Linked DNA regions of Cricetulus griseus. The protein of the gene in region 2 binds, or shares a complex with, the protein of the main gene of each other region. Links are inferred from orthologs where the notes say so. Each region holds a gene or a part of one and is shown on either strand. Other genes may lie near its edges.

Region 1 (3,527 bases), on a different chromosome or scaffold from region 2:
GGTCTTATTTTGCCTTTGTTGAAACAGCAGCTTTAGATTTCATGTTTCTGGCCCTCATGCTTTTCTAGGACATGTTTTCTTGTTAAACATTGTGTATAACTTTGCATGTATGTACACATATTCATATGTGTTCATGTATAGTTGGAGGCCAGAGGACAGCTTTGGCATCATTCCTCAAGATCTGTCTATTTTTTCCTTTATTTCTTTTTTTTTTCAGACAAAATCTCTCACTTGTCTGGAACTTGTGAGTAGGCTAGGTTGCTTGGTCTGTGAGCTCCAGCTGTCTTCTATCTCTGCTTCCCAGTGCTGGAATTACAAGTGTGTGCTGTCACCCAGATTATGTGGGTTCTTGGGATTAACCTAAGGTCCTTATTCTTACAAGGCTGGTGCTTTACCAATTGTACCAGTTCTCTATCCCTATAGATAATCAATTGTCCTTTAAATCCTAAAATCTTATATACTTTCTTGATGTGCTTTAGGGCAATACTTCTGAGTGTTTTTTTTTTTTAACTTCATGACACATGCAGAACATGAAGAAATTTGCATAGTACCTGTAGTATGTCAAGGGGGCTCTGGGCATAATTGCCCCAGAGGTTTTACCTGCCCTAGACCCCATTTAGCTGCCCTGAGTGCTGTGTATTATTAGTATTAGCTATATATTCTATAACATACCAGTTGAGCATGTTTTCTTTTCTTTTTTTTTCCATTTTTAAAATTAAATTAGGAGCAAGATTGTTTTGCTTGTCAATACCAGTTCCCTCTGCCTCCCCTCCTCCCCTGCCCCCCACTAACACCCTACTTATCCCATACCCTTTCTCCTCCCCAGGGAGGGTGAGGCCTTCCATAGGGCGGTCTTTGGAGTCTGCATATCCTTTAGGATAGGGCCTAGGCCCTCTCCCATGTGTCTAGGCTCAAGGAGTATCCCTCTATGTGGAATGGGCTCCCAAAGTTCATTTCTATGCTAGGGATAAGTACTGATCTACTACAAGAGGCCCCATATATTTCTGAGGCCTCCTCACTGAAACCCACGTTCATGGGGTCTGGATCAGTTCCATGCTGGTTTCCCACCTATCAGTCTGGGAACCAAGAGCTCCCCGTTGTTCAGGTCAGCTGTTTCTGTGGGTTTCACCAGCCTGGACTTGATCCCTTTGCTCATCCCTCCTCCTCTGCAACTGGTTTCCAGTTCAGTTCAGTGTTTAGCTGTGGGTATCTGCTTCTACTTCCATCAGTTGCTAGGTGAAGGCTCTAGGATGGCATATAAGTTAGTCGTCAGTCTCATTATCAGGGGAGGGCATTTAAGGTAGCCTTTCCACTGTTGCTTAGATTGTTAGTTGGTGTCATCCTTGTAAATCTCTGGACATTTCCCAGTTCCTGACTTCTCTTTAAACCTATAATGGCTCCCTCTCTTATGGTATCTCTTATTTGAGCATGTTTTCTTTAATGGTTTCCTTATACAAGGTAATGGATGTGATTCAAACCTTGGTTCTCTGTAGTTTGGTTCAGATAGTTGGATGTGGGGGCTGTCTTTGCTGACACATTTATGGTCTTGCTTAGATCAAAGGAAGAACTATCCGTGTGGACCATGTGTCAAACTACCGGGCTCCTCAGGAATCAGAAGACATGGATGAAGTGACCAGAGAGCTCCAGGAGAAGGGCTGTGGTGCTAAAACACCTCCATCAAGTTCTACTGAGGTGTCTGAAGATGAAGATGTCAAGCCCACCATAAAGCACAAAAAAGGTGGAGTCTTAAAACTCAGTAGAAAATTCTGGGTTTCTTAGTGTCTTCTTTTCCAAGCATGCGTAGATAGATAGTCAAGAATTCACTCTCAAGTAGAAAATGGAAGGTGTGAGAATCGTTATTTGGGAAAGCAGAAGTGACTGAGGAAGGAAGGCTAGTGGTGTAGGCAGAATTGTATCTCCCTAAATTTATATGTTGTCATCCCAACCCTTCTGTATCTCAAAATGAGATTGTATTTGGAGATACAGTACTTCTGTGTGGGGATGTTTTGTACAGCTTGACCTATAAGGAGTGACAGGTGTGCAATTCGATTCTTGAAGTCATTTTCTGGGTGGCATAAACTGTGACTGCTTCTTGTTGCTACCTGGGATGTTTTTCACAAACACATTCTCCATCTGCTTGCATGGGAACATTTTGAAACGTCTCAGTTTTATGTGATTTACTGAGAGAAGAAAGGCACATTTTAAAGAGATTTCTTTGTGTTTTCTTTTCCCTATTGATTACCTCCCAGACAAAAAAGAGAAAAAGAAAAAAAAGAAAGAAAAAGAGAAGATGGAGCACAAGGTACAAGCAGAGCCGCCATCCTGTTCTTTGCCCTCTGGAAGCAGGGCAGTAAAGGAGAAGGATGAAGAGGGCCCAAAGAAGCACAGCAGCAAGACCTCAGAGAAAGCCCAGAAGTCGGAATCCAGAGAGGGGAGGAAGAACCACACAGGCTTTCCTGATATCAGGAGTTCCTTCCATGGTAGAGCAGAGGCCCCCAAGTGGGAGCCAAAGAAAGAGAAACCCAAGCATGAGCATAAGTCCTCGAGCAGGAGGGAGGGAGAAGAAAAGAGCAGAGGTAAGGATAGAGGGAGGAGCTCAGGTACTCATACCAGCAGGCATGGCGGGCATTCTGAAGGGCGGAGCCATAGAAGTCGAAGTAGGAGCCATAGAAGTCGGAGTAGGAGCCATAGAAGTCGGAGTAGGAGTCGTAGGAGTCGTAGAAGTCGGAGTCGTAGGAGTCGGAGTCGTAGGAGTCGGAGTCTGGATAAGTCCTATAGGCATAAAAAGCACAGGCAGTCCCGGGAGCGGGAGTCCTACCATGCCAGTTACCGTCGACATTATTGAAGTCTGTGCCAGCTGACCAGTTCTTCAAAATTGATTCTTTTTGCATTAAATAATCAAATTCTCTTTGTTGTTGTTATTTCTATATATAAAGTTTTGGGGCTGAATTCTTTCAATCCCTTACATGACAGAGTTGTTCAGAAGGCTATCGTTTCTATAGCCAGTGTGTTAGATTTAAAAAAACAAAACAAACATGATGCACTGTCCCTGGGAAAATAGTTGGTACTGACCAGAGTATATGCCTAAAGTTTGGTTCATAGATTTGGCCCTTAAACCTATAGACCTTTGATTTGAGATTGCTGGGAAAGGCAAACACAAGGCAGTGGTGGAGTTCTAGTCTTCATGTTAGACATTTAGAGTCCAGCTCTGTAGGTCCTTACCAGATGGCAGGTACAACTATAGAAAGCTGCAGCATATGAGATTTGGAGAGTGTAATATGGATATGATAGGGAAGTGCTCGATTTCTCAGCTATATCCCGGTTCCTTTTATTTTGTTCTTGGTTCTTGATGGTTACATATATCTATGTATTTTTTCTTTATAAGTTATTTATTTGTATTGAGATAAAATTCATATAAAATAAAATTAACTGTTTTAAGCAATTCAGTGGCATTTTGTCCATTCATTGTTGGAATAAAACCATTTTCATGTAGTTCTTAATCGTTCATACCTTTCTCTATTTTCCAT
Region 2 (3,704 bases):
TTTTTTTTCCTATTGATTTCCCTCCTTAAAGGGGAAGCGTAATGACATGGATTAAATGCTTAGTACGTTTCATTTTGATGTGTGCAGGTTTAGTCACTGTGCCTTTTGGAAAAGGAGTGAGCACACCTGTAAATGATCTAGGCTGCATAGCAACAGGAATCACTGGAAAAGGAACTGGATTGGGAATGAAGTGACTGGGGTTGGGGTATGTCTCCTCTTAGTAATGGTGACCATAGGGAATTCCCAGAACCTTTTTTTCATGTCTATTAGACGAAATCACCTGCCTTGATTACTGTAGGTCTTGGGAGGCAAATGAGAGGAGTTACTCTTTAGGTTGTCTGAGAGTGCTGGTTTGCTGCCCCTAAACACAAGAGCTGGGTAGACCTTATGGGCTTTTCGAGTAGTTGAGAGATGTGTGTTTTAGAGACATGTTTTTAAACTGAGTGAGATGTGGACAAAGCACTGGTGGGGATCTGACTGTTTGTTTTTGTGTTTAGACCACAGTGAAGATGGACATTTCCATCATGATGACCAAGATCCATCTCCTCCTAGGAGAGTTCATCGTGACACTCCAGATCCATCTTCTCCTAGGAGGGCCCATCATGACACCCCAGATCCATCTCCCAGGAGGACCTGTCATGACACCCCGGATCCATCTCCTAGGAGAGCCCATCATGATACCCCAGATCCATCTCCTCCCAGGAGGGCCCATCATGATACACCAGATCCATCTCCCAGGAGGGCCCGTAATGATACACCAGATCCATCTCCCAGGAGGGCCCGTAATGATACCCCAGATCCATCTCCCAGGAAGGCCCGTCATGATACACCAGATCCATCTCCTCCCAGGAGGGCCCGTAATGATACACCAGATCCATCTCCTCCCAGGAGGGCCCGTCATGATACCCCAGATCCATCTCCCCCAAGGAGATCCCGTCATGACTCAGACACATCTCCTCCCAGAAGGGTCCACCATGACTCAGCTACTTCTCCTCCCAGGAAGTCTCATCGTAATTCTTCAAGTGTATCTCCTAGGAGAGGTCATCATGGTTCCTCAGATATCTCTTCCCCAAGAAGGGCCCATAACCACTCTCCTGACACACCCCAACATAGGAGGACTGTTGATCCTTCAGACCCACAGCATCTCAGGAGGCCCCGTCATGACTCCCCTGATTTGGAACTGCCCAGAACCAAAAGCAGTAAAGCTGCAGAAAGATCCTGTAATAAGACTGTACACCAGAGGGGCCAAGAACCCTCTCACCCGTCAGTCTCCAAGAACAGCAAGTACGGGCGTGACTCTGACCTTTCTCCACGGAAATGGCAAGCAAAAGCTCATGTTGGAGCTAAGAAGCAGCTGGATCCTAAAGGTGAGCGTATAGCTGTGTGTAAGAGCTTCATCCCTGAGTATGAGAATGAGTTTCTTTGGAAACATTTTAAAACATGAGAGGCTAGGCTTAGAGTTGAAAAATTACAGGGGCAGGGAGGCAAGTTTTTATGTGCTTTTGCTTACCCTTCCTACCCCATACCCCATAAAAAGGCACTGATGGGGCAGGCGAGGTGGCTCAGTGGGTAAAAGCATTTTCTGTACCAGTGCACTGAAAGGACAAAACTGACTCTGATCTCCATACGTGGGCGCCTGCACTCACATACACACAGAGTAATAATAAATAAAAATGAGAAATCCTGTGTGCGTTGCAAAAGCTTCAGAATGTACAGAAACATATAGACACAGGAAAAGTCTCACAAAATTGTGTCATTTAGACACCATCATTGTTCAAGTTGTAGCCAGTGGCTTTAGGTACTTTCTGGCATACATGCTAGGTGTAGTTGAGCCTGGCTGTGCAAAACATGCATGTTGCATGTGTAATCTTGCTTGCCCCTTCCACTCAATAGTTTTTCCTGGGTTATAGGTGTCTTTATGTTATTATGATTTTTTTTTTTTTTAAAAACCTCTTTATGTTACATGAATTGACTTAGCCATTTCCCTGAGATTGCATGCTTTGGATTACTTCTAGCTTTGCTCTTAGGATATTTGACAACCATCCTGTTGGAACAACTATGGGTTGTTTCTTATCTTAGATCTTTTGGGGATTTAGTTGATAGGTTCCTAGAAAGCTGAGCAGTTGTTTGCTAGGTCAGAATGTTTGGCCATTGCTGTAACCTTGGTAACTACTACAGGGCTGCTTTTCAGTAAGTGAACAGTGACACAGTTATCTAGAACAGGCCTATGCAGAAAGTTTCTTACTCCTTCATTTGCCCTAGCTGCTGTTTTAATTTTAAAATTAAATTACTTTGTTTTTCTTGAGTCTGAGAACATCCAGGCTTTCTTGTCTCTGCCATACCGCAGAGGACTGACTCCAAGCTCTTCTGCTGGTTCTGGACAGGTTGGCAGTATAGATGAGTGTCTGAAATCTCACATGCTTTTCAAAGTCACCAGACACTGGTGGCCCAGAAACAGAGCCACTGACTTTGTTCTTCTCCATGTCACCTATGCTTGTGTTTTGGTTAGTTATGTTTTTTTCATAGGATGACTAAGTAGACACTGTACCCCAGTTTGGTAAGTTCTTATAAACATTCTTCTGATGGGGTTAATTTATTCTCCCTCCCTCTCCCCTGTGCTGGGAACCAGAACCCGGGCCTGACATACTAGGTTCACTTTACTCCTGAACCATCACAGCTCACATCCTTAATGCATTCTTTAATCCCTAGGTTCTCTTAACCACAGGAGATTTCATATAAACACTTTCCCTGGGAAACAGCAAGTCACACTTTGATGGCTCCTTTCTACCTAGGTGTCTGCCAAAAATCCTCTGATTCAGATCTCTCTCCTCCACGGCAAAAACAAAATTCAGGACACCAGGACTCTGATTCAGATCTGTCACCACCACGGAATAGACAGAGACACCGGAGCGCTGACTCTGACCTCTCTCCGCCCCGGAGAAGACAAAGGACCAAATCTTCTGATTCTGATCTCTCTCCTCCTCGAAGGAGTCCCCGTCCCGGGAAGAAGGTAGGGATTTCCAGGACTTGTGTCTTTATCAGAGTGACTCCTCCCTTCTAGCTTTACAGACACTAAAAAGATTGCCACCAGAGAGTCAGGATGCGGTGCAGTAAATCTGAGTTAAAAGCACTTCTGGAACTTTCTCTCTGAAGGCAGCATGTCTCTGGCTCATCTGAGCAGAGGCTTGAGGATGCCTTGTCCAGATGCTTGAAGGTTCTAAGACTTTACAGATACTGCACAAAATGATGCTCAGAATGTCTTGGATTATGGACTGTTATGGATTTCTAGTTTTGGATCAGGAGTGCCCAGCTTGTGCCAGATTTCCCAGGATGCTCCTGCCTTTTATAGCCTTGTAATGCCACAAGTCTCAGTATCTCCAGAAAGCCTCCCTGTTTTTAATTTTTTGTTGTGAGTGGCTGGCCTTGAACTTCTGACCTGCCTGCGTCTTCCCACCTGATAGGACAGCAGGTCCTAATAATAAGCTGAGGCTGAGTGCAGTTGGGAGCACAGAACCCCAACTATGATTTAAAACCAATTATAGTTTTAAATCCTACTCTGCTGCTTACTATCTGTGAGACTGGGCAAGAAACTTGATTTCTTTAATCCTCAGCTTCCTTCTTTGTGAAATGTGCATAAGTGAGTTCAAGGCCAGCCTGTACTGTATGGGACCCTATCTTTTATGTATTTATTTATTTTGTGAGAC
Region 3 (3,704 bases), about 86 Mb from region 2:
GTGTCTCAGGGCCTGGTCGCTGTCTTCTGCTTCTGGACAAGGCTCTGTGGCTGACCACTGACTCTGCTCTTCTGTTCCAGGTGGAGAGTCCTACTGGGGCAAGCCTTTCAAAGATGAGTTCCGCCCCAACCTCTCACATACAGGCCGTGGAGTGCTCAGCATGGCCAACTCGGGGCCCAACACCAACAAGTCTCAGTTGTGAGTCCAGCTTTTCTTGCTCAGCTGCTAGGATGGTTTGCAAAGCGCCTGGCGTTGTCCCTAAAGGTTGTGCTGGGCCCAAGTCAAATCCAAGCAAGGGGGTGTTCAGTCAGGTGGAGCACAGGCGTCTCCAGGAAAGGAGCCCAAGTCAGCTGGTAGAATAGTGGTCATGAGTGGGTTCCCAAAGGCCTCTTGGGGTCCAACAGGAAAACCAGGAGTGTGTGGGTACCAGGTGCCATGCAAGGTTGCTGGTCCAGTGCTTTGGGAGGAGGTATTCTGAGGACAAAAGGCCAGGAAGAGGTACTAAGGCTCTGGCTTATCAGAGCCCAGTGTGTGTGGTGGTGGGTGGTAAGGCTCTTGGATGTCTGGTCTTGTGTTTTGGAATAGGTTTGTATTGTATTCTATTCTTCATCAAATCTTAATCAAATAATGTGGCTTAATTCTCCTGGATATGTCTTTTTTTTTTTCTTTTTTGTGCTGGGGTGTGAACCCAAGGCTTTGTGCATGCTAAATACATGTTCTACCATTGAGAACTGTCTCCATCCAGGGTATATCTTTTATCTATGGAGTATAGTTTTGTTATTTTCTTTTTTAAAAAATATTTTGAAACCGGTTCTCATTATGTAGTCCTGGTTCTTGTGGAACTCACTGTGTACACCAGGCTGGTTTCTGCCTGTCTCTGTATACTGGGTGCTGTGTTTAAAAACTTTCACCATCAGGACTGGAAAGATAGCTCAGTGGTTAAGAGCACTGGCTGTTCTTCCAGAGGATGTGGATTCAATTCCCAGCACCCACATGGCAGCTCACTACTTTCTATAACTCCAGTTCCAGGGAATCTGACACCCTCACACAGACAATGCACATAAAATAATAATAAAAAAAAATCTTTAAAAAATGTTCTGTCCATTTCTTCTTTAACTATCTTGTTTATGAAAGGTATCTTTAAAGGTGGCTATCATTTAAAAAAAGACAAAACCATGCCCCATCACAGCTGATTACAGCTTATTTTATGTGAGGGTATTCATGCCACAGTGTGCGTGTGGAGGTCAGATGACAGCTTTGTAGGGTCAGGACTGTCCTTCCACCATGGCATCCAGTCATCACATCCAGGCTGCCAGGCCTAACACAGCAGGTGTCTTCACATGCCAAGCCAGCTTGTCAGCTCAGTTTTGTCATTTTCTTTATGTGGATCTTCTGACTTCCTGGATAATGTTATACAAAGGAATTTTAGTATTTGTTGATTTTTTTTTTTTTTTTTCAAGGCAGGGTTTTTCTGTGTAGCCGTGGCTGTCCTGTAACTCCTCTGTAGACCAGACTGGCCTCAAACTCTCAGAGTCTCCTGCCTCTGCCTCCTGAGTGCTGGGATGAAAGGTGTGGGCCACCATGCCAACTTATATTGATACAAAGTTTCATTATGTAGCCCTGGTTGGTTGTACTAGAACTCTGCCTTGGAGTACTGACATTGCAGGTGTGGGCCATCACACAGCTAGTCAAATCCTCTTTTTTAATTTTTTTAATATGCATTGGTGTCTTGCCTGCTTGTATGTCTGTACGAGGGTATCGGTGTTGGATCTTGAGTTACAGACAGTTGTGAGTTGCCATGTGGGTGCTGGCATTGAATCTGGGTCCTCCAGAAGAGTAGTTAGTGCTCTTTAACTGCTGAGCCAGCTCTCCAGCCCCTACAATCAAATCTTAAAAAAAAAAAAAAATTAAGAAAATTTTTTAGCCAGGCGGTGGTGGCACATGCCTTTTATCCTAGCATCTGGGAGGCAGAGACAGGCGGATCTCTGTGAGTTCAAGGCCAGCCTGGTCTACAGAGTGAGTTCAAGGAAAGGCTCCAAAGCTACACAGAGAAACTCTATCTTGAAAAACAAAACCAAATTTTTTTAATGTGTATGGGTGTTTTGCCTACGTGTATGTCTGTATACTGCATGTAAGTTTGTGCCTGATGCCAGAGGAGGACAGAAGAGGGCCTGGTCCCTGGAACTGAAGTTATAGGTGATTGTGAGTGTAAGTACTGGGAATAGAACTCTTGTCCTGGAAGAGCAGCCAGTGCTTTTAATTGCAGAGTCATTTCTCCTAAGTTTATATGAAGAGTTTCTTTGTAGATTTTTGAACTTATCAGAAGAGGAGACATCTTCAACTTCCCATGTGCACATCAGTCACATTGTCACTGGGTGTTGGAGGTAGGCACATGTGTGTCCTGCTCCAAATGAAATGTGATTTTGTAGTCTAACATTTGTCAGGATAGGTGGCTCTGTTGTCAGAGGTCTAGTTTTTAAATCTGTCTCTAGTCATGTGACTGAGCTGTTGCTGCTTTGTATGGCTAGGAGAGGTGTGCACGTAGAGTCATTTTCTTTTGGCACGGGCTGAGTTTGTACCCTGAAAGAGCTGCGCTCACTTTTGTTTGCTGAGCCCTTTCTCCAGGACATGTGACAGCTTTCCTTTGTCAGCATTTCCTTACAGTCTCTTCAAAAACTTGAACAAAACCTAAATATTCCAGTTGCATTTTTGTTGTTTTTTTACTTGCCTCTTTTTTTTTTTTTCCAGGTTCATTTCATTCTTTTTCTAGCTTCCTTTATTATGTTAGAAATTCAAGAGAGCTAGGTCTGATCAATTCAGTCATCCTTGGTTCCATAGCATAGCCAATGAGCCCTTGTTCCAATGGCAATAACAGGAGTTCAGCTAGTGTGAAGGCTTAGACTGTGCATAGGTGTGGGCTCCATGACTTGCCTGGTGACCTTAGGAGTGCCCTTGCTTGCAGGGTGATGCATCTTCATTACTCACTGAAGGGTCTCTGTGGGCTGTCAGGATGAGGCTTGTGTCCTGTTGTCACAATAGGGCTGAGTTCATGTACCACTTTGTGTAGGGACTGCACTGCAACCCATCCCATAAACTTCCTGCTTTCCATAGTATTTATTTTATTCAGGGATGAGGGCTCACTGTGAGTCCCCACACCACACCCAGCTGTACTTTCCTCCTTTTGTCTGATGTCTTCCAGCGTTCTGCTGTCACCCACTTATAGGCTATAGTCTAGGGCTCCCTCCAGGCTGCACATACATGGCCTGTTTACTTCACCCCTAACCATTGCCTCCTGAAGATAGTTGGATAGCGAGCTCAAGCCTCCACTGTCTCCTGCTTGGCTCTCATGGGATGTTGGCAGCCGAGCTCTGGGATTTCTCCAGAGGTCTGGATTTACTTGGGAAAGGGCAGGTGGCTTCCACTGAGGAGCAGTCGTTGTTACAACTAGAGTATGCTGGGTGGCCCAGCCTGCTGCTTCCCTGACCTCCATGTGCTTTCCCCAGCTTCATCACATTTCGCTCCTGTGCTTACCTGGATAAGAAGCACACTATCTTCGGACGGTAAGAGCAGATGCTGTGCATGTTCGCAGTGCAGTGTGGACCTGGGGATTATCCTCATGCAGTCCCCGGTGAGGACTGTGGGTATTTCTGTGGAGGAAGGTTGGCTCTTCAGGCCTGTGGAGCCAAGGAGAGGAGGCCCAGGCG

Evidence for each region. Proteins that work in one complex are often made in the same cells at the same time.
Region 1: Bud13 (region 2) and Rbmx2 share a complex: the UniProt entries of both Homo sapiens proteins name them as parts of the activated spliceosome. The link is inferred for Cricetulus griseus from reciprocal best matches to the Homo sapiens genes BUD13 and RBMX2.
Region 3: Bud13 (region 2) and Ppil2 share a complex: the UniProt entries of both Homo sapiens proteins name them as parts of the minor spliceosome. The link is inferred for Cricetulus griseus from reciprocal best matches to the Homo sapiens genes BUD13 and PPIL2.

What each region holds. Positions count from the first base shown.
Region 1 is NC_048604.1:20,785,371-20,788,897, reverse strand, and holds the end of Rbmx2 (RNA-binding motif protein, X-linked 2), read left to right. Parts: intron 1-1,554; coding exon 1,555-1,738; intron 1,739-2,249; coding exon 2,250-2,845; 3' UTR 2,846-2,908; downstream 2,909-3,527. UniProt on the Homo sapiens protein: Involved in pre-mRNA splicing as component of the activated spliceosome. As a component of the minor spliceosome, involved in the splicing of U12-type introns in pre-mRNAs.
Region 2 is NC_048597.1:158,028,805-158,032,508, forward strand, and holds part of Bud13 (BUD13 homolog), read left to right. Parts: intron 1-497; coding exon 498-1,367; intron 1,368-2,792; coding exon 2,793-3,010; intron 3,011-3,704. UniProt on the Homo sapiens protein: Involved in pre-mRNA splicing as component of the activated spliceosome. As a component of the minor spliceosome, involved in the splicing of U12-type introns in pre-mRNAs.
Region 3 is NC_048597.1:72,241,752-72,245,455, forward strand, and holds part of Ppil2 (RING-type E3 ubiquitin-protein ligase PPIL2), read left to right. Parts: intron 1-80; coding exon 81-198; intron 199-3,503; coding exon 3,504-3,560; intron 3,561-3,704. UniProt on the Homo sapiens protein: Has a ubiquitin-protein ligase activity acting as an E3 ubiquitin protein ligase or as an ubiquitin-ubiquitin ligase promoting elongation of ubiquitin chains on substrates.